Struthio camelus: one gene and its partner. The protein of the gene in region 2 purifies or fractionates together with the protein of the main gene of each other region. This does not show direct contact. Links are inferred from orthologs where the notes say so. Each region holds a gene or a part of one and is shown on either strand. Other genes may lie near its edges.

What was found.
Region 1: the proteins of NF2 (region 2) and AMOTL1 purify together in Homo sapiens (affinity purification with mass spectrometry; 6 studies listed by BioGRID and IntAct, counting the BioPlex papers as one, with this or other methods). This does not show direct contact. The link is inferred for Struthio camelus from reciprocal best matches to the Homo sapiens genes NF2 and AMOTL1.

The regions. Positions count from the first base shown.
Region 1 is NC_090942.1:212,027,907-212,038,141, reverse strand, and holds the start of AMOTL1 (angiomotin-like protein 1), read left to right. Parts: upstream 1-6,170; 5' UTR 6,171-6,425; intron 6,426-10,235. UniProt on the Homo sapiens protein: Inhibits the Wnt/beta-catenin signaling pathway, probably by recruiting CTNNB1 to recycling endosomes and hence preventing its translocation to the nucleus.
Region 2 is NC_090958.1:5,127,769-5,137,426, forward strand, and holds the start of NF2 (merlin), read right to left. Parts: upstream 4,679-9,658; 5' UTR 4,559-4,678; coding exon 4,445-4,558; intron 1-4,444. UniProt on the Homo sapiens protein: Probable regulator of the Hippo/SWH (Sav/Wts/Hpo) signaling pathway, a signaling pathway that plays a pivotal role in tumor suppression by restricting proliferation and promoting apoptosis.

The DNA of each region.
Region 1 (10,235 bases), on a different chromosome or scaffold from region 2:
AATGGGTGTTTTCGCCCCTGTTGCAGGACGGGAGTGATTTTCTGTGGGGCTGAACAACCTCAGCTCTCCCTCATGTCAGTGGGCACATGAGAACCTGGGTTAGGCAGGACTCAGCCCCAGATGACTCAAAATCCTCCTACTCTGAGAGGAGGGACCTGCAGAAGACGCTGGGAGGGAGATGACCAATACTTAGCCACGAGCAGTCTCACTGCCTAATTTGCAGGGAAGGATGAGCAGCCAGGAGGCGAAAGGGAGAAAGCAGCTAACAGCTGCATTTCTTTGACCCCACTGCCAAGACATTAAGTCTGTGTCATGACTGACTGTATTTCTGCTTTTCCCTCTCTTCTCTCCTCTCCCCTCCCTGAAGGGAACATAGATCACATCCGTATAAATCATCACCAAACTCTTGGAGCATAAAGAGACTTATTTCTCTTCTTAGAGAAAGGAAAAAGGAAATTTTTTTCTCTTTTCCCTGTCATGACAGCAAGGCATTCACACTCCATTTTGTGTGATGGACACGAGCAAGGCTGCATTTTACTGTCGTTTCATGAACCTACTTGGCCGGTTCTTTAAATATCCCAGCCTACCCAAGAAAGACGAGGCATTTTAAATCTTCTTGTCTTTCCAGTTAGCTTTATGTGTGACCCATACAAAATCATCAAGGAGAAGTCGTTTGTGCATTTTTTTTTTGACATTTGTGCCACAAGGCCGGGTAGATAATTGCACAGATCATGGCTCCAGGATCACAGAGTCAGGTCCCTGCGGGGTCCCCGATACTAGAGTATCAGATAGGTCTTCTCAATCACTGGCACCATCCAGACAGAAACTTTAGGAGCAGAGGAGCTTGATGTGTGGGTATGTTTTACTGATAGAGGCTGGGACTCTGGAAAGCACCTAAAGCGACACTCCTTTAGCCTGGGGAGAGACCCATCAGGTGGAAGGTGAGCTGCTGTGGGCCTGCGCAGGCTTGCCCTTGGATGGTGAAACATCTAGGACTTGGGAAGGTCAGAGCTCTGCGTGGGTGTGCCAAAGGGCTCGGTATGTGGAGCAGTGGCACAGGGCTCACCTTGAAGTGAAGGAGGAAGGGTTAGGAGCCAGACCAAGTCTGGGGTCCCGTACGCCAGTGTATGAGCCAGCTATGCCAGCCAGGTGCGGGGGGAGGACAAGACGTGCTGCATCCTTTACGTGGGCCAAAGAGCACATCTGTTTTTGATATATAACTCACTCACTCTCACAATAGCCAGCATGATCATCATTTTGCTAAATCTTTTCTGGCTCTTGCGTGACTCTTGGAAAAGCATTTGACAAGATACCGTTTACCTTCCCTTTTCTTCCTCAGGAGCTCTAATTTTGTTTAGCAAATAATGACATTCCCCACAGCAGCTTCCTCTGAAGAAGTTCTCCTCTGACTTCAGTCCTCCAAAGAGAGCATTATATATGTTTTATTTCTAACTCACTCCAGTGAAAAATAATATGACTTTAACAAAAGGCTCTAACAGTTCCCATTTGCCAGCTAAGATCCTACCCTAACTCACTGCCATTGCATCAAACAATTTCTTATTTTTTCGAGTAAAGAAGCTTCCTCAGCCTGCTCTTGAGTTTCACCAGGGAAGAAATTATTGTGATTGAGATGCAGAAGTCTTGAAAACAAGATTAACCTAATTAATACACAAAGGGCACCTCTCACACCTCTCTCTGTAGAGCAAATACTTTCAGGCAAAAGGCAGCCAGAGATATGCAGTCTGGGTTTCACAGTTAGTTTAACATGTGCTCCCAGAAGCAGATCGGTCCTGGGGCTGACAGAGGCAGGAGCTAGAGGTAACTGTACAAGAGTTGCACCCAGGAGCAGGACCAGGATGTGGTTCAAGACCCCCCAGCCTCATGTCAGGGTCCTGAGGGCAGCAATGGGCCATAATTGTCCTGAGCATCTTCTCTCCACCCTGCCCAGCCTGGGGACATCAGTCCCTGTCCCATGACAATGCAGCAGTGCTGGGTCCAGCCCTGCCCCTGCCTAGCTACAGGTCTGATCCTGACCCTGACCCACAGATGACCACCTGGCCTGGCCTCAGTCCATCCCTGTCCCTGAAACAGGGTCCGATGCCAGGGCTGGGGTTGCCCTGGCTGCCCCCAGTGCCCTTCTCCCTCTCGGCTGGTGGGACTGCCCTGGCAGCGAGGCCCAGCCCTGTTGCCACCAGGATCCCCCGCCAGTACTGACCCAGGAGAGCCACGCGATGTCATGATAGCTATGGTGTCCAGGCTGGGCCAGTGTTTACTGGCTCTCAGGGAGGCAAGCCCTGATGTTTCACAGCCAACTTACAAGGAAGGGCAGGTTTCTTGCCCTGAGAGCCTGAGGCATGGGGCAGCCCAGGTAGTGGTGCCGTGCTGGGGGACGCCAGCCGTAGACCCTCCTCTTGCACGTGCCTCATCTTCCCGTGGACCCTGCAGCTCCATGTCCTCTTGTCCTTCCCCTTCCCACCTCCTCCCTGCCTAGTAACCCAAGAGCTGCCATCCTCATTCTCCCCTACAAGTAATTTAAGACTTCCCCCACTGCCTGTGACTTATTTCCGTCTTCCCACAAATGACCTTTCCCTCCTTTCCCTTGATCAGTTCAGATAACGCTGCCAGTGCTACTGACTGGGGAGAAGCATAAGGCCGGCAGGGAGCACCCAATGCCCTGTGGAGGGATAAACCAGGTCAGAGCCATGAGGCTCTGCAGCTGTGCTAAAACCTTGGCAGCTTATAGCAGCCTCTGAGATTATCGCACTGGCCAGGACAATGTGCTCTTTGCACTGGGAGAGGGAGCAGAAAAAACATCACTCAACCCTGGAGAAGTCCCCCTCGGCTCAGGCGCTGTGGTTAGGAAAGGGACAGGGAGGCTGGTGACACCCAGTGGGAGTCGCTGTCCCCGTAAAGCTTTGAGTAAAGCCAACGTGGTGTGGAGATAGAGGAGAGAGACCTCCCCTTCTTGGAGGAATTCTTCCACAGCAGATATGCCGCTAAACAACTTAATGTTCATCACCATCTTGCTCTTTCTGATGCTGCGATCCAAAGCGGGAAAAGGTCGAGTTTGATTTGGACTGCAACGTTGTTCTTCATTTGTCTGCAAGGCAGATTTGTGCAGCCGGTTGTAAATCTGGTGGGGAGTTAATGACTCACTTGTGTAAAAGTCGTGGAACTATGTGAATTACGCAACATCTGCTGTTCACCTTTATAAAGATGGTTTTGGCTCACCTTGTTGTTTGTGTAGGAACAAATGTGCCTGTACAGCAGGCTGAGTGATTGCAGCTCCGCACAGACATGCTTAGGAGAAGAGTTAGTGCGTGCCCTATGTTAGCAGGCCTGGAAAAGCTGTCAGGACTCTGTGTCTCTGTAATTACAAGTCTGCTACGCGTGATTTTTTTAAACAAGCTTAATCCGAAACCTCCACTACAAATACTGAACTGCAGGGACATTTGAAACTTGATTTCTATCCAAACTACATGGTTTCTTCTAGGGTCTCCCAGGATAGAGTCAAAGTCTCAGCACTAAGCACCAGGGGAAGGTCTGGATTTGGATCTAGATCCACTGAGAGCCAACACGCACTAAAACATTTCCATTATATCATGTTTCTGCAGCCAACTCCTTGTAACGTATTCCCTTTTTTGGTGCCAAATTGTGCTGTGACTTCTCCTAGCCTAGTCTGCAGCCCTTCTGCCCGGCTGCATAGGGACATCCCTGCTCCTCTAGGCATGTCGTTGCCACCCAGTGCCCGTGAGTTCAGGGGAAGACCTCTGTATCTGCCTGAATCTGCTTCTGTGGGTTCGTAGGCTGTGATAGGCAGGCCTGGACTTGAGGGCAGCCTCAGGGCATCAGCCAGTGCTCCTCTCAACTCTCAGACTAGCAGGGCACTCTGGAAGTGAAGACATCAGGATTTCACCCATAGTTTAAAATTCAGGCCGCTAGTCACACACAAATCTCTTTCTCAGGGGGTTGAGCTAATTGATTTTCAGAGGCCCCTTCCAAATTCAACCACTCTGTGATTCTGTGATCCCTCTCCCTTCCTTATTCTAGTCCTTGCCACTCTCCTGTTACCTACCTGGAAAATTTAGAAGTTGCTGGAGAAACATATTAATTTGAGGGGAAAACTGGGGACAAAAGCATCAGTGTATGACATTTCCTACACTGACACTCTGGCCTGCTTTGCTGTTCAGTTGATCTGTTGGTGGGGTTTTCCTTGTAATGAGGAACACCTCGCTAGATCTTTGCTAAAATTGACAGTTCCTGGCGATATCTGTTAACTCACAAGGTGGAATGGAAATAATAATGTGCTAAATGGATTCAGGGCTGAGGCTGTTTCCTGCTGCAGCTGTGGCAGCAAGCCTGAACATCAGATTGGAGTCAACTCATCCTGTCATTTCCCTGCCTGTGCAGAGCCCAGATCTTTCACAGCACCAGACACCGGGTGCCATCTCAGCTGACACTAGTTGGCACCTCACTGGGCACAGAAATGTCTCTGTTGCTCGGACACTTCTTCCTTTATGATCAGGGTTGAGATATGTCTACAGAGAAGGTCTGGGAACTTGAGGTGTTTGCAACTTGGGGGGTGCCTGGTACTCCCCAGATCCACTTGCTTCCCAAATACACATCTGCAGCGTGGGCAGCCTGCAAACAGCCTCGTGCCTGGCAGCGTCGTAACCTGTCAATGCTGTGCTAACGCTATATTGGGGTGCCAAGCACAGATAGATACTGCCAGAGGCAGTAGGCAATGCTGGCCAGTTCACAGGTGTGAGAACGCAAGATGAGAGTCAAGAGCCATGCTTAAAGCCAGGAGGATGTGACAAAATTGAGTTACAGCTGGAGAAGAGCAAAGGCCACCGAAGGGAGAGTTGGCACAAAGCCTTCACAGAACATTTCTCTTTCCCATTCACTGCACAGGAATGTTTAAAGCTCCTGCGGCCCAGGAAGCAGGAGCTGTTTGACTCCCAAATATGAGGTTTTTTATTTAACCTAATGGCTGAAAGGTTTTCACGTCTGAGCTCATAATTTTGAAATCACCTCCTCTGTATCACGAGCTGTCAAGAATGAAGACGGATGGAGTTTATCTTTTGGGAGATGGAGCAAAAATGAAGATCCAGTTGCATCTGTCTCACCAATAAGAGGTTTAGCTAGGTCTCGGTGCACCTGCAAAGGAATGGAATTGTGGATCTAATTTACTGATCAAAGGTGCTGGACTTCCTATGCTCGGATGAACAGGCTGTTCATGCATGTTTTCATGCATAAATTAGGGCAAACTGAAGTTTCACTCCTGAGAAGTCCTTTATATAAAACATCTGGAAAAAATGCAGATCTAACAAAATGTTGCACTGTGTGAACGTTTGCTGCAGCCATTCCCTCACCGTAGCAGATTAGCACATTTCTTTCCTTTGCAAGAAGATGGTGTAACCAAGGACCTCCTTGGATTGCTTGGTCTCCATTCTCAGCCTTCTTTCCTCACCTATACTGGGCACAAGGAGGTTTTCTGGGAAGCTCACCTGCATGGTATCCCACTCTCTCATAGTATTTCCTTCCTCTTCCAAGACTATCTGCTATGACTTGATCATAGCAGAAATCCATTTGCTGGTGTCACTTTTTCCCAGGTGGTTTTGACTCAAGAGAAACTCCAGGAAGACACTTGTCATCCTTATCAAGATGTAACTAGCCCAGACACTGCAGTATAACATTGTTTTTTAAATCTGTACCGCTGATGACTCAGCCTCCAATTACAGATAGTCATCAGGGACTACTTCACTTCGTCTTTCCTCTCAGTCAGAGACTGTCCCATAACCTGTGCAATCCACTGAGCTTCAGATCAGCTTTTCTAGTGCTTTGGGTGCTTTTCGAAATGTATCACTGTTGCTCTTAAACGTTTACTGCACATGCCTCTTGAAACCACTGGAAAATGCCAGCACTAAAGCAGACAACTCAGCCTCTCCTTTAGATTTTATCTTTGGGGACATATGAATTAGAAATGTCCCTGAAACAATGTAGTCCGTTTACAGCTGTTGGATGTGAACTCCTCACAGTGCACTGCGTACCTTCTAGGAATATAAATAGCCTGTTGCTTTTTTTTTTTTTCTTTTCTCTCTCCACTGCACTTCTGTGGCTTACTTTCCCAAAGATAATTATATGACTCAGGAAGACAAATGCATACTTCACATACTCGTGGGAATCATAATGCTGATAGGTGGTTGAGAGCATTTTGAAGCTCTTTGAACACACAAGAACAGTTGAATTCCAGTGACTTACCTACACAAACCAAAGCAAGTCCAGGCAATGGCTGCATAGTTTTTGTGGAGTCCTTACCCAGTGAAGGACAAATATCTTCCTGAGAAGGAATAATCTTTGGTCTTACAGTACCGAGGCACAGTCAGTCTTTGTTGCCAGAGAAATCACGGGCATTTTGTGAGGTAAGATTTACTCTTTGTATTTTACTGTTTTTTGAAAGATCTTGTCCAGACTAAAGCTGGAACACTTCCTACCATGAAGACAAAAAAAAAAAAAAAAAAAGCAATCCTGTGCTTTCTGAAAGATGATAAGAATAGCACGGAGCAAGCAATGATCATCTGCTAACTAGATAAGTGATTATTAATGGTAAAATAACCTGGCATCTACTTGCCTATGAAGATAACCAGTAAGAATCAGACGTTGTGGTGTTCGACATAGACGACTCTGTCAAAGATACAAAAAAAGACACAGACTTTACTTTAAGTGTTTGAACATTTGGATAATTATATTACAATTTAATTTGCTAATTTTGGAAGAAAGTGGACGAGTAAGAGGTAACAGCAATTTTATTATTCCATGCAGTAACTTGGAGACTCTTACGGATCTTAAGGCTCTTTCTTAAAACTACCCCAAATCTAGTCTTTGCGTGGTTGATATGAATACCTAGAATCTCATGTAACTTTTTACAAAAGCTGTGGTCAGTAGCAGCAATGCTGTGAGGCTGCTTCATCGGGTCTTCCTGCTTCTGCAATTCCTTAGGCAGGTTTGTGAGGTAGAGTAGGAGCTTGAATTTGGTTGAAATTAAAGCTAATATTTATAGAGCTTTTAAAGCTTTCATTTCAGTTCCTGGATATCTATATAGATGTGTGTGCCTAGCTAGGGACAAATTATTTCAAATGAAATCATGATAAGTAAATAGGCATGTATTTATTTATTTGCCTTTCACCTTTATTTTCTATCCAAAAGGAGCTTCTAGCTCCTGTCCCCCATCAGCACTTGAAACTTTCTACCTGCAGTATTTCCCCCGCTCCCAGATTGGGACAGTTTCTCCCAAGAGGCTTTGTCACATTTAGGGTTTATCCAAAATGCAGGACGTCAGGGTCCCCGAGCCGTGCTGGGAGCGAGAGCGGCGGGGTCTGCCTGGCGCTGGCGAGCCGCCGCGGCCGCCGCGCGCTGCCTGCCGGGCGCCGCACGCCGGGCACGCGTGCCCCTGCCCCGCTCCTACCGCCCGCAGCAAAGGCAGAGGCACGGCAGCTGCTGCTCTGGGACGGGCTCTCTTCTGAGCAGGTCGGGTGTTTCATGGCTCCCGAACGGTTTCTCTTTGCGGAGGCGAGGGGAGAGATAGGGCTCCGCAGGGCAACGCGCAGCCTGGCCTGAAACGCACACGCTATTTGCAAACTTGCAGCTTTTATAAAAAAGGCTCCTATCCTGGGAACTGTGGAGCCTTAAAGTGCTTCTTGGCTCTGGACTTGTCCTTTAGCTGCAGTAAGATCAGGTTAATGATGCATTAGTTCAAGATAACTACCATGAGATCATGTAATTAACTTGTGATCCTACCCTGTGCCAGTTGGCTGAGATTGCATTCTTTTAAGAAACTCTTTAAGACTAGCAACAAATAGAGCTTTTTGAATGACTGCATTAACAATGAGCTCATTAGTCACCTTTTGGGTTAATTAAAGGAGAATGTTCACAAGAAAGGCAATAAAGAGCTACAGAGGGTGATTAAATGCAGCCGTCAAGCTGAGGTGTTTGGAAGCAGCGAAAGCAGTTTATTACTGTGGGTTCCCTCCTGCGCTGGTTGAGCTCCCTGTTGCACGGCAGGGCACGGGTGCACAGGGGCCATGGCTTTTCTGGGCTCCTGGTGGCCCGACCCAAGGCCCGATCCGCATCCCACTCCAGGTCAGTTCGACTCCCGCTGGCCTCAGCAAAGCTTGGTCAGACTTTCCCCATACCACACCTACCGCCCTTGGGCAGATGAATAACTGTTCAAAGGCGGGTTTAGAAAGCTGATTCCTTCCTGGGGCAGTGGTAACTGCCCAGGAGCAGCTGGTGCTTGCCTAAGCGATGTGATTTCACCTCAGTAATGCTCTCAGATTTGGCACACGAGGCCTTTTTGACACATAAAAGTCTTACTCTAAGCATAAAAGCCATAGAGGGTTGGGGATGCTTTAAATCCTCTGGACTGATTGAATAAAGGCAGAGCAGAGCGAGGCTTGTCCCAACTCAGGGAAGCAGATTGCATCTACCTGTACAAGTGTTTTGGTTTTAACCACTGCCAGTGCAGCCACACTGTGGCTTTCACTGCCAGAATTGTACTGGTACAACCATAACAGCCTTTATCAGATGTGGGAATCCTGGTACCACTCGTGTAAGACGCAGTCTGGGCCTCACACCATTACCGTTTAGGCACTGTAAGGATTTGTGTAGCGTTTCTCTGAGCGTGGAGCTGGTTATTTCAATATAATGTTCAAATATTTTTCAAATGAAATAGTATTTTTGTGTGGCACTGGGAAGCAGTTCAGGACTTCACCATGGCCACAGGTCTGCCCAGGAAATGGAGCCTCTCTCATGATGTTTAACCCCAGCCCTGGTGGCTGCAAGGCTGCTTCAGGAGGTCTTCTCCTGCAGGCTGCCTGCATTCGCTCCCTCTCGTCCAGTCATGCTCCAGTCAGCCCAAACTCCCTTCTTCGGTGCCCACTTCTTGCCTCAGCCTCAGCCCTTCCTTGGCTGCCCACCTCATCCTTTTGGCGTGACAAATGTCCTGCCCAAATCCTACAAACATGTCCAGCGGTGCAGGTTTGGATTTGTGCCCCCTCTTGCCAGAAAAGGCACTAGTAACAGCTCGCCCCTGCTGCAGGGTTTGCAGTGTGAGAAGAAGCAAAGATTTTTCTCCCAGTTCCTGCTCTCTCTTGCCAAAATGGTGGCTGTTGCCTAACCCTGCTCTCCTCTGCGTGAGTCATCGTCTGCTGCACCATCTACCAACCTTCCCTTGACTGGTGGGCTCCTCAGGTGCTGCTTAGTCCTTTCTCTTGCCCAGCCTCCACCAATGCTTTATTCCCTTTTACACCGGGCAGTGATGCCCTTGTGATGGCTCTGGGGTCACCAAGCCTGGCCTGGTGTTTGCCATTGCCCTGTCAAGCGGCATCGGGTCAGCTTGGTGCTGCTCCACTGCCCAGACACCAGTCTGCTCATCCCACATTTCTGCACTCCCACAAGCCCGGATCCTGCTCAGAAGTGTGAGTTTTTCTTGGTTGCTGCAAGTCATTGGACAGGTAGTTGATCTAATTAATAAATCATTATACATGGAGTGCTTCTGTACGCACTTTGAGGGCTCAGACCAGTAAGCTGATATGTGGTGATCACTACACCTGGCATTGCACAAGGTTAGATTGGATTTAGCGTTTCATGAAAATGTACCCTCTTTCATTCCTCATGGAAGAAGGGAAAAAACAGACCCAGACATGCTCAATTAACTGTGAAAATCACCTCCAATCTGTGGCTTCTGGAAGATGCCCATTGTTTTTCCTCCTAACCAAGCAGGTGGATCCAAATACAGCCCACTGAACAGCTCTGAAGCTGAACAGTAGGTAAAGAGATGCTATAACTCAGAGAACATAGGACAGCCTTCTTTTAACAGATGTGCTTTGGAAAGCAGTGTCTTATTTTGGTGAATCATGTGGATGGAGCATTTACTATGGGTACTGCTTGGGTGAACACCACCTATTTCTTCTTTTCCTCCAAATCAACCCCCAGCTTGCAGGAGTATTTAGGATTTGCTGCTTTAATCTCTTGTCTATATGGGTTAGTCTCAAGTCATTAACTTGTACTTTCCTGCTGTTCTGGCTGTGTGAATTCTGCAGTCTGTGGTACTAAAAAAATTCCCAGTGCAGCTGCTTACTGCCTAGAGAATCTGTGTGGCAGATTGTTTTAAACTGGAAATGTTCCAGATGGGAAGCTTAGCTGACCTTCGTTCTCTGACAGCCAGCTCTTAC
Region 2 (9,658 bases):
TCGGACAGCCTGGAGTTTAACAAGCTTAGGAGAGGCTGCAAGGGGACACGCGGGATCTGGAGAGCACTTCTGATGCAGTGTGCAGTCAGGAAGAAGTCAGAGAGGATCTGCGTTCTCGTGCAACTTGGACACAATGTGAAAAGGGAATGCAGAACTGAACTGCCAAGAGCAGGACAGCTCTGAAGAATTAATTCCCAAATGATACAGTCACAAGTGTAAACCCCCTCCAAATAGGAAGTCAAATGAGAAAACATGCCACTTCCCATGTTTAAAAAAAAGAAAGAAAACACCATCAGTAGCAACCAAATGACACAAACTCTGAGCGTTTACAGAGCAATGAGATGAGATCAGGGCAGATGGGCACATGAGGAACCTAAATGCTGCCTTGCCAGCTGGTATCTCGACGACTCACTGAAGATCGCTTTGTAGCCAAGAGGGATTACTTCTCGCAGCTTTTTCAAACAGTTGTTAACTGCCCACAGACTTGCCTTTTCCAGTTCAGCCTTCTGCTGGCTTGCACAAGCTCAGCAGCCTCAAAAGAGGTCACCGTTATTACTAACATCAGTGAGAAGCTGTGAAACTTTTAACTAGGGATGGAATAACCTCTACACAACCTACACAACCTCCCCAAGTATTTGCAAAGCCGAGGGCAGCTGTCTTATTTGCCATTTACTAACCTTTGCCTTTTAATTTTGGGGCAGGGACCAGACTGAAGTCAAAACCACCCCAATTTCCTGCACCAGCTCTCACTCAGAAACTTCCATTTGTCATCAGTACTATGGAGGGGGTTACAGAGAAACAGCCTTCAGGAAAGGTGCTGTAGCCCCAAAGATGGAGAGCTACAAGCCCAGCTGCAGCTGTCACAGCAAGAAAGGGGCAGAGACACACGAGAACGAGACTGGAGCTCTCCCATCTAGCAGGCAGCTTGGGTTTTAGGAAAAAAAAAAAAAAAAAAAACACCACCCTCAACACACACGAGGAGAAAACTTGACCACAGCAGCTCCTATGGAAATCAGATCCTGGTAGAGGAAGAGCATGCAAAAAAGCTTTGGAAGATCCAGACCCAGAATACCATGAGGTTAAGCTATGCCAGAGATGACGGAGAGCAGACCACCTTGTCTGGAAGGGGCGCCAGCAAAACTAGATTGCCACCTCGAATTGTGCAAGTGTGGGGCTCACCAACTTGTTTTGGTTGGGGCCACGAGCGATGGCACAAGGTTCCACCAGAAAGCAGCAGCTGAAGAGGAAACCATTGACAACGGCACCCTGCAGCAGTATCAAACCCCTCGCGGTTCCAGTACCATGCTCCGGCAAGCTCTGATGTACGCTACTGCCGCTTAAAACAACTTCCTGAATTGTTCCTTGGGCAGCACCCAGTGTGTCGCTGTGTTCATCGCAGAGTATCAACTCCCAACTCCTTTTGGGAAGTTTTCGCCTGCACTGCCCTCCCCTCCGAGCACAGGGAGCCGACGGACTGCATGAGCCATTTGCAGGTGTCCTTGGAAAGGTGGAGCTGCTGGGGACTGGTTTAACAGAGCAGTATTAAGAGCCATGCAAATGTGTATCACTCCTCGAGATGCTATCAATTAATTAGTTGCTGCGCTCAGGCAGCTGTAATGGAAGCAACAAAGAAGAAGACACCAACCTCGCACCTTCAAGATTTCCCCAAACAAATTATGAATCTTTAAAGTGAAACCCCAGCTGTGATTATTAAGTTCCATCACAGCATTACAAAGATTAAGATCTCATTTCTGCGCATTACTGCGGATTTAGACTCAATTTAGGGACATTATTTGCAGAACAGACAGATGCAAAGCAGGTTTAATCTCCTGAAATGCACAGCTGGGGATTCCTACAGAACAGATTTAAAAATGAGCACATTAAAAAAAACGTGCTGAGCAGAGTGGGTGAGCTTAAGCCACCCGTTGTACTTCCCGCCGTGAGGGAGCCAGTTATTGATTACTGCTTCTTCAGCCACACTGGCTCAACTGTTTCCACCAAGCCCTGGGCACCCTTAATGGCCTGGGCCTCCACTGGCATGTCCTCAAGTTGTTAACAATATCACAGGGCTGGGAAGCCCAACTGATGAAAACACACAGTAGAAAGCTGTGGAACAAAATATATATTTAAAAAAACAAACAGTCATACTAACGCTGCACAGAAAGGCAGGAGCGGAAGGGCAGTCACAGCAGCGGCTGCCTCCGCTGTTCAGAGGAAGGACAAAGATCCTAGGAGGTGGAGGGGATCAGGGACACGAGACACCAGCGAGGAAGGGTGACACAAATTGGCCAGCTCTGCCTGTAGCAGAGCCTCTCCCCACCGAGGCATGGCAGCCCCAGCACCAGGAGGGTTGCCGTGTTTATTATGGGTCCTGCGGCTGGAGGTGAACCAGAGGCACAGCTCCTGTTCCAAGGGACCTGCAGCCTTGGGGAGGAACTGCCAGCCCCTTGTTGCCTGCTGGCTTCATCCCGCTGTGGGGCCAGGAGATGACTGGAGAGCGGCAGCAAGGATGGGGACAAGCACATGGAGGAACAGCCTGGAAGCAGCAGCGATCCCCTCTGTCTTCCGCCCAGCCAGGCTCGCTGGGAGAGGATGGCTCATCGGCGATCCCCGACTCCTCCTCGGCACGTTTGGACAGGGTGGCTGCAGACCAAGCGAGTAGACACGCAGCTCGACTAGAACTCCCACCTCACCTGCACCAGACACAGCGCGAAACAGCCCCGTGACCTCCCCGCTTTGCTCCAATTTTCCCCAGGTCGAGCGCTCCTCTGCGCTGAGGGATGACAGCCAAAGTCCCACTGCGTCCTTCACCAGGGGAGCAGAGCAGCATCCCTCCCACAGACTCTCAGTCCTTCCTGTGCACAGAGAAGCCCATCGGCAGTAACAAGCTTTTTGGGCAGGAACCTCCCTGACAGGCTTTTCTTCAGATGCACGAGTTGCACATTTGAACCCAACCCGAGCGCGCTGCGTTCCCCTGTCAGAAATACCTGAAGCCCAACATGAAAGGACAAGTGGCCATACTATTAAAAAAGAAGTACGTCCTTTTCTTTATCATTGGCAGCCTCAGGAAAGGAGGCACGAGGCAAGCCAGGACGCTTCACCTCTCCTGGCAGAGTGATGGTGGGAACCTCACGCCACTGTGGGTGAAAACAAATCCTTAATCTCTGGGAATGGGAGGAAGCTCCGCAGAGCTGACAACACATTTCATCAGCAAGAAAGCTTACAAGGGCAAATACCTTTTCGGTTTATGGGCACTGGAATTGCAGCAAAATTTGGATCAGATGAAGAACCTTTCTTTTTAAACTAGTTTATGTTTTAATCTGGGTAGAGTTGGCTTTCAGTCATTAAGCGCCCAACTTAGAAGCCCAGCTGATCATGTAAAAACAGTGATTACAAATTAGGCTCTTAGGAGCTGATATCAGCCCCCAAGGGAAGAGTGCCAAGGAATTATCAAGGGCCAGAAAAAGAAGGTATCAAAGAAAAAGATAAACAGATGAGAAGTGAAGATCAGAACATGATCTTGTGCCTTTGCAAACACATTTCATCCAGCGGATGGAACGGGCAAGTCATATAGCATTTGAAAATTTTGTTTTCCTGAGTGTTTTAAGTTGAATCCCTATAGATTTAAGCCTTGGCACCCAATATAACTCAAGCTCTAGTCTCCTCATGAGGCCTGCTGATCAGCAAGCAGCTTAGTTACAACAGTAAAGTAAATCCGAGATACAAATGGTCTATTTTCCTTCTCTCATACCTCTCCAAAAAGTTATCTTTGTGGACTTACACTTTTCGTGCCTGCTCTCAGCTAGGCTATAACGTACGGAAAGCACGAAAGCACGCAGACGCAGGGGCTCACCTTCCCTTTAGGCCAGGGTAAGGCAGCGGCGCGGGGCACTGAGCAGCAGCTTCCCCACTCTTAGTGACAGCCCGCCGCTGGGTTTGCGCCTGCTTCTGCTCCCTGCGTGCGGGGAAAGCCCAGACGGCAGCCGCCGGCGCGGCGGGAGAGGCGGCGGGCTGGCAGCCCGCTCCCAGCAGCGAGCCGCAGCCTCCGGCTTTCGCAGGGTCTCCTGCGGCCCCGCAGCCCGGGCCGCCCCGGGGGTGGAACCGCTGCCGCCGGGGCCGCGGCTCCGCGCTGGAGGCGACGGGAGGGAGCGGAGGCTCCAGCGGGGCCCGCAAACCCCTCGGCCCCGACGGCGCGGACCGCGGGCCCGGAGCGGGCGGCAGGGCCCTCCCGGAGGCGACGGCCCCCAAAAAGGAGCGGCGAGAGGTGGCGCGGGGGCGAGAGGGGGGCTAACGAGGGGGAGGAAAATCCCCAAACGGGCAACGCCAGCCCTGCCCGGCGGCGGTCCCCCCCCTCCCCGGGGGGTGTCGCCATGGCCCCGGGGGGGGGGGGGCGCCGCGGGCACAGGGGGCGGCGGCGGGGGGGGGGGGGGGGGGGGGCCGGTACCTCGCAGCTGAACTCCATCTCGGCGTCCATGGTGACGATGCGCACCGTGAAGGTCTTGGGCTGCTTCCTCTTCAGCGAGCTGAAGCTCATGCGGGAGGCGATGGCCCCGGCCATGACGGCGGCCGGGACAGGCAGGGCGCGGCCGCTCAGCGCTGCGGGCCGCGGCGCCGGGGCAGGGGCCGGGGCAAGGGCAGGGCCATGGCGGCGGCGGCGGGCGGGCGGGTGGGCCCGGGGGCGCCCGGGGGCCGCGCAGCGCCGGGCCGGGCCGCGGCGGAGCCTGCTGCCCGCGGCGCACCCTAGCCGCGGCGCTCCGCCATTGGCCCCGCGCGCAGGGTTGTCCCGCCCCGTAGCCACGGGTCGCGCTGGAGCAGCCGCCAATAGGAAACTTGCGCGCGCCCCGCCATGGTCTTTGCTTGCGAGGGACGGAGCAGCGGCTGCTGTGATTGGACGGGGCTGCCGCCACTCACAGGGAAGAGGCGGGCTTACTAGAGCCCCGCGCATCTGCCCCGCAGGTTGGGTTGAGAGGCAGGGCGGCCGATGGGCGCTGCGCGGGCGCCCCCTGGCGTCGAGGGGGACCAGGCGCTCCCCGGCGCAGGTCGAGCCCCAACGTCGGCGCGGCCTCTGTGCGCATGCGTACGAGGTGGAGGGCGGTTTTTTTTTTTTTTGGGGGGGGGGGGGGGATGTGCAACGGGCTCTAGGACCGTGCGGTGATTCCCGCCCCGGGATCCTGCCCCGGGATCTGCGTGCGCCCCCTGCCCCAGGATCCTCTACTGGGATCCTGCTGTGGGATCCTGCCCCAGGACATGCCCCGGCATTCTACCCTGGGACTGGCACTGGGATCCAGCCCCGGGATCTGCCCCGGGATCCTGTACCAGGATCTGCACGGGGACCCTGCATCTGGATCCTGCACAAGACCTGTCCTGGGATCCTGCCCCAGGATCTGCCCAGGGACCTGTCCTAGGATTCTGCCCTGGGAACTACCCTGGGATCCTATAGCAAGACCTGCACTGGGATCCTGCTGTGGAATCCTGCCCTGGTACCTGTCCCAGGATCCGGCATCAGTGATCTGCCCTAGCATCTGCCCCGGGATACTGCCCTGGGATCTTGCCTCAGGACCTTCCCTGGGATCCTCGCTCAGGATCCTACAGTAGGATTTGCCCCGGGAACTGCCCTGAGATTTGCTCGAGGATCCTGCCCCGGGATCTGCCCCAGGACCTGCCCCGAGATCTTGCCCTGGATTCTTTCAGCAATACTTGCACTGGGACCTGCGCTGGCATCCTGCCCTGGGATACGTCCTGGGACCTGTACTGGGATCCTGCCTTGGGATTTGCCCCGTGACCTCACCTGGGATCCTGCACCAGGATCTGCCCCAGGATCCTGCACTGGCATCCTGCCATGAGACCTACCCTGGGATCCTGTCCTGGGACCTGCACTGTGATCCTGCACCAGGACTCTTCCCTGGGATCTGCATTGGGATCCTGTCCTGGGATCCAGCAGCAGGATCCTGTCCCGGGATCCAGCACTGGGATCCTACCCCGGGATCTGCCCCGAGACGTGCCCCAGAATGCTGCACAGGGATCCGCTCTGGGAGCGGTCACCGGGAGCCGCCGATCCCTCCCCACGGCTCCGGGCAGCGGGGCCGCTCGCGGGGACCCAGGCGTCCGGGAGGGAGCCGCAGCTCGGTGAGCGGCCACGGTGCCCTGCAAGCTGGGGGTGGGGAGGGACGCGGGGGACACGGAGGGAGAAGGGGGACAAGTGGGGAGCCAGGGGACAAGGCAGGACACAGGGGATATGGGGGTACATGAGGAATATGCGGGAACAGGGGGGACATGTGGGGACACAGAGGGCAGATGAAGATAGCAATGGGGCAGGAGGGGGCTATGGGGCAGGAGGGGATTATGGGGCCAGAGGGAGCTATGAGTCCCTTAGGTGAGCAGGGCCCCAGACATCACGGTCCCTGTAGGAATGGGGCCCGGACGCCTGGGTCCCTGTGGTGAGGGGGGACCCAGATGTATCGTACATGCCAATACTGGCCTCTATGAGCTCGTGTGAGCCTGTGCCAGGATCTATGGGCTCGTATGGGCCCATGCCGACCTTTATCAGCTCATGGGCTTGTGCTGGCTTCTACGGTCTCATATGGGCCCCTGTCGAACTCTCCAGGCTCCTACGCACCCACGCTGGGCTTATAGGCTTGAACGAGCTCGGCATGGCTGTGATCTCATACGGGCCTGTGCTGGCCTCTGCTGTCTTGCACGGGCCATTGCTAAGCTCTATGGGCTTGTATGGGCTTGTTCTGGCCTCTGTGGTCTCCTACCTGCCCATGCCAGGCTCCATGGTCTTGTACAGGCCTGTGCTCATCTCTACAGGCTTATATGGGCCCATGCTGGTCTCTACAGGCTCGTAGGAGCTTAAGCCAGCCTCTATGGGCCCATTTTCACTTGTGCCGTCCTCTATGGGCTCGTATGCACCCGTCCTGAGCTCTACAGGCTTGTAAGTACCCGTGCAGGGCCTCTATGGGATCGAACATAGCTGTACCCACCTCTACGGGCTCGTACGTGTCCGTACCGGCCTCTACAGGCTCGTACAGAATCACAGAATCACAGAATCGTTTAGGTTGGAAGGGACCTCTGGAGATCATCTAGTCCAACCTCCCTGCTCAAGCAGGGTCCTCTAGAGCATACGGATGCCTACTGGTCTCTAGGGGCTCGTGTGCACCCATGTCCGCCTCTACAGGGTCAGACAGGTCCGTACTGGCTTCCACAGACTCGTATATGTCCGTACCAGCTTCTACGGGCTCACGGGGGTTTGTGCCGGTCTCTACAGGCTCGTACATGCCCATGCATGCCTCTACAGCCTTATATGGCCTCATATGCATCCGTGCCAACTTCTACAGGCATATACAGGCCCGTGCAGGGCCTCTACACGATCATATGCACCGGTATGTGCTGACCTCTGCAGACTCATTCAGGTCCATTCTGGCCTCTATGGGCTTGTAAATATCTGTACCAGCCTCTACAGGCTTATATGGGTTTGTGCCAGACTCTATGGGCTTTTATGCACACATGCTGTCCTCTATAGCCTTGTACTGGCCCGTGCTGGGCCCTGCAAACTCGTACGCTCCAAAACCAGCTTCTGCAGGCTCATACGGGCCCGTGCAGGGCCTCTACAGGATTGTCTGCGGCCGTGCCTGCATCTGTGGGCTTATACAGGTCCGTACTGGCCTCTATGGGCTTGTACAAGCCTGTGCTGGCCTCTATGGGCTTGTACGGGACTGTGCCAACCTCTATGGGATCGTACACAGGCGTGCCCCGGCCTCTGTGGGCTTGTATGCGCCCATGCCGACCTCCACGGGTCATATGTGCTCATGCTGGCCTCTACAGGCGTGTACACATCCTTGCTGGCGTCTACGGGCTCATACGCACCTGTGCTGGCTTCCATGGGCTTGTATGGGCCCGTGCCATCTCTATGGGCTCATACAAACCCATTCCAGCCTCTGTGGGATCATACACGCCCGTGACGGCCTCTACAGCCTTGTATGAGCCTATGCTGGCTGATACTGGCTTGTGTCGGCTTGTTCTGGCCTCTATGGGCTCGTAGGCACCCGTGCCAGCCTCTGTGTTCTCATAGGCACCTGTGCCGGGCTCCCTGGCCTTGTGCAGGCCCATTCCAGCCTCTACAGGCTTGTATGTGCCTGTGCTGGTCTTTACAGGCTCATAGGGGCTTAAACCAGCCTCTACAAGCCCATTTGTGCCCATGCTGTCCTCTACAGGCTCGTATGCACCCATAGCGGGGGCTTGTAGGGGTCCCTACCAGACTCTACGGGCTTATATAGGCCCTTGTCAGGCTCTACAGGTTCATACGCATCCATGCCAGCCTCTAAAGGTTTGTAGGTGTGCATGCTGGCCTGTATGGGCTCATATGGGCTCATGCCAGTCTCTACGGGCTCAGGCTAGTCTCTGTGGGCTTTTATGCACCTGTGCTGACCTTTATGGGCTTGCAGGGGGTCTGTACCGGCCTTTACGGACTCATATGCACCCGTGCTGGTCTCTACAGGCTTGTAGGGGCTTGCACTGGCCTCTATGGGGTTTTATGTGCCAGCGTTGGCTGCTACGGGCTCATAGGCACCCGTGCTGGGCTCTATGGGCCCATACGCACCTGAGCCAGTCTCTTTGGGCTTGTATGGGCCCATGCACGGCCTCTACAGGATCGCTTATAGCCGTGCCCGCCTCTGCAGGCTCTTGCAGGTCTGTACCGGCCTCTATGGACTTGTACACATCCGTACTGGCCTGTACAGGCTCATACACACCCATGCCTGCCTCTGCCTGGATTATATTGTATGGGCCCATGCTGAGCTCTGTGGGCTTTTGCGGGCCTGCACCGAGCTCTATGGGCTTGTACGTGCCCTTGCCAAGCTTGTACAGGCCCCTGCCAGCCTCTGTGGGCTCATACTGACTCGCACCAAGCTCTACAGGCCTTGTCCTGACCCGTACCGGCCTCTACAGGCTCATACGGACCCGCACCAAGCTCTAGGGGCCTGCACGAGCCCTTTCCGAGCTCGAACAAGCTCACACCGGCACTTACAGGCTCATACGGGTCCATACTGGACTCCATGGCCTTCTCCAGGCCCTGGTCAAGCTCGTACAGGCCTGTCCCGGCAGGGGCCTCTATGGGCTTGTTGCGGGCCCACAGCAAGCTCTACGAGCCTTGTCCCAACCCCTGCCGGCACCTATGGGCTCCTATGAACCATCACCGAGCTCTATGGGCTCGTACGGGTCTGTGTCAGACTCAGCAGCCTTGTCCGGGCCTGTGCCAAGCTCGTCCAGGCCCATGTCAGCCTCTATGGGCTTGTATGGGCCCATGCCGGCCTCTGCGGGCTTGTCCGGACCCGTGCCAAGCTCTACAGGTCTGTATGAGCCCACTCCAGGTTCTATGACCTCATATGGGTCCGAACCAAGCTCTACAGGCTTGTATGGGCCTTTGCTCAGCTCATACGGGCCCACACCAGCCTCTGCAGGCTCGTACAGGCCCGCACTGAGCTCTACAGGCTTGTACAACCTTCGCTGAGCTTGACTGGGCCCATACTGGCCTCTATAGGCTCCTACAGGCCTGCACCGAGCTCTACGGGCTTGTCCGGGCCTGTACTGAGGTCGTAGGGCTTGTTCTGGCCTCTGCAGGCTTGTCTGGGCCCCTGCCAGCCTCTACAGGCGTGTACGG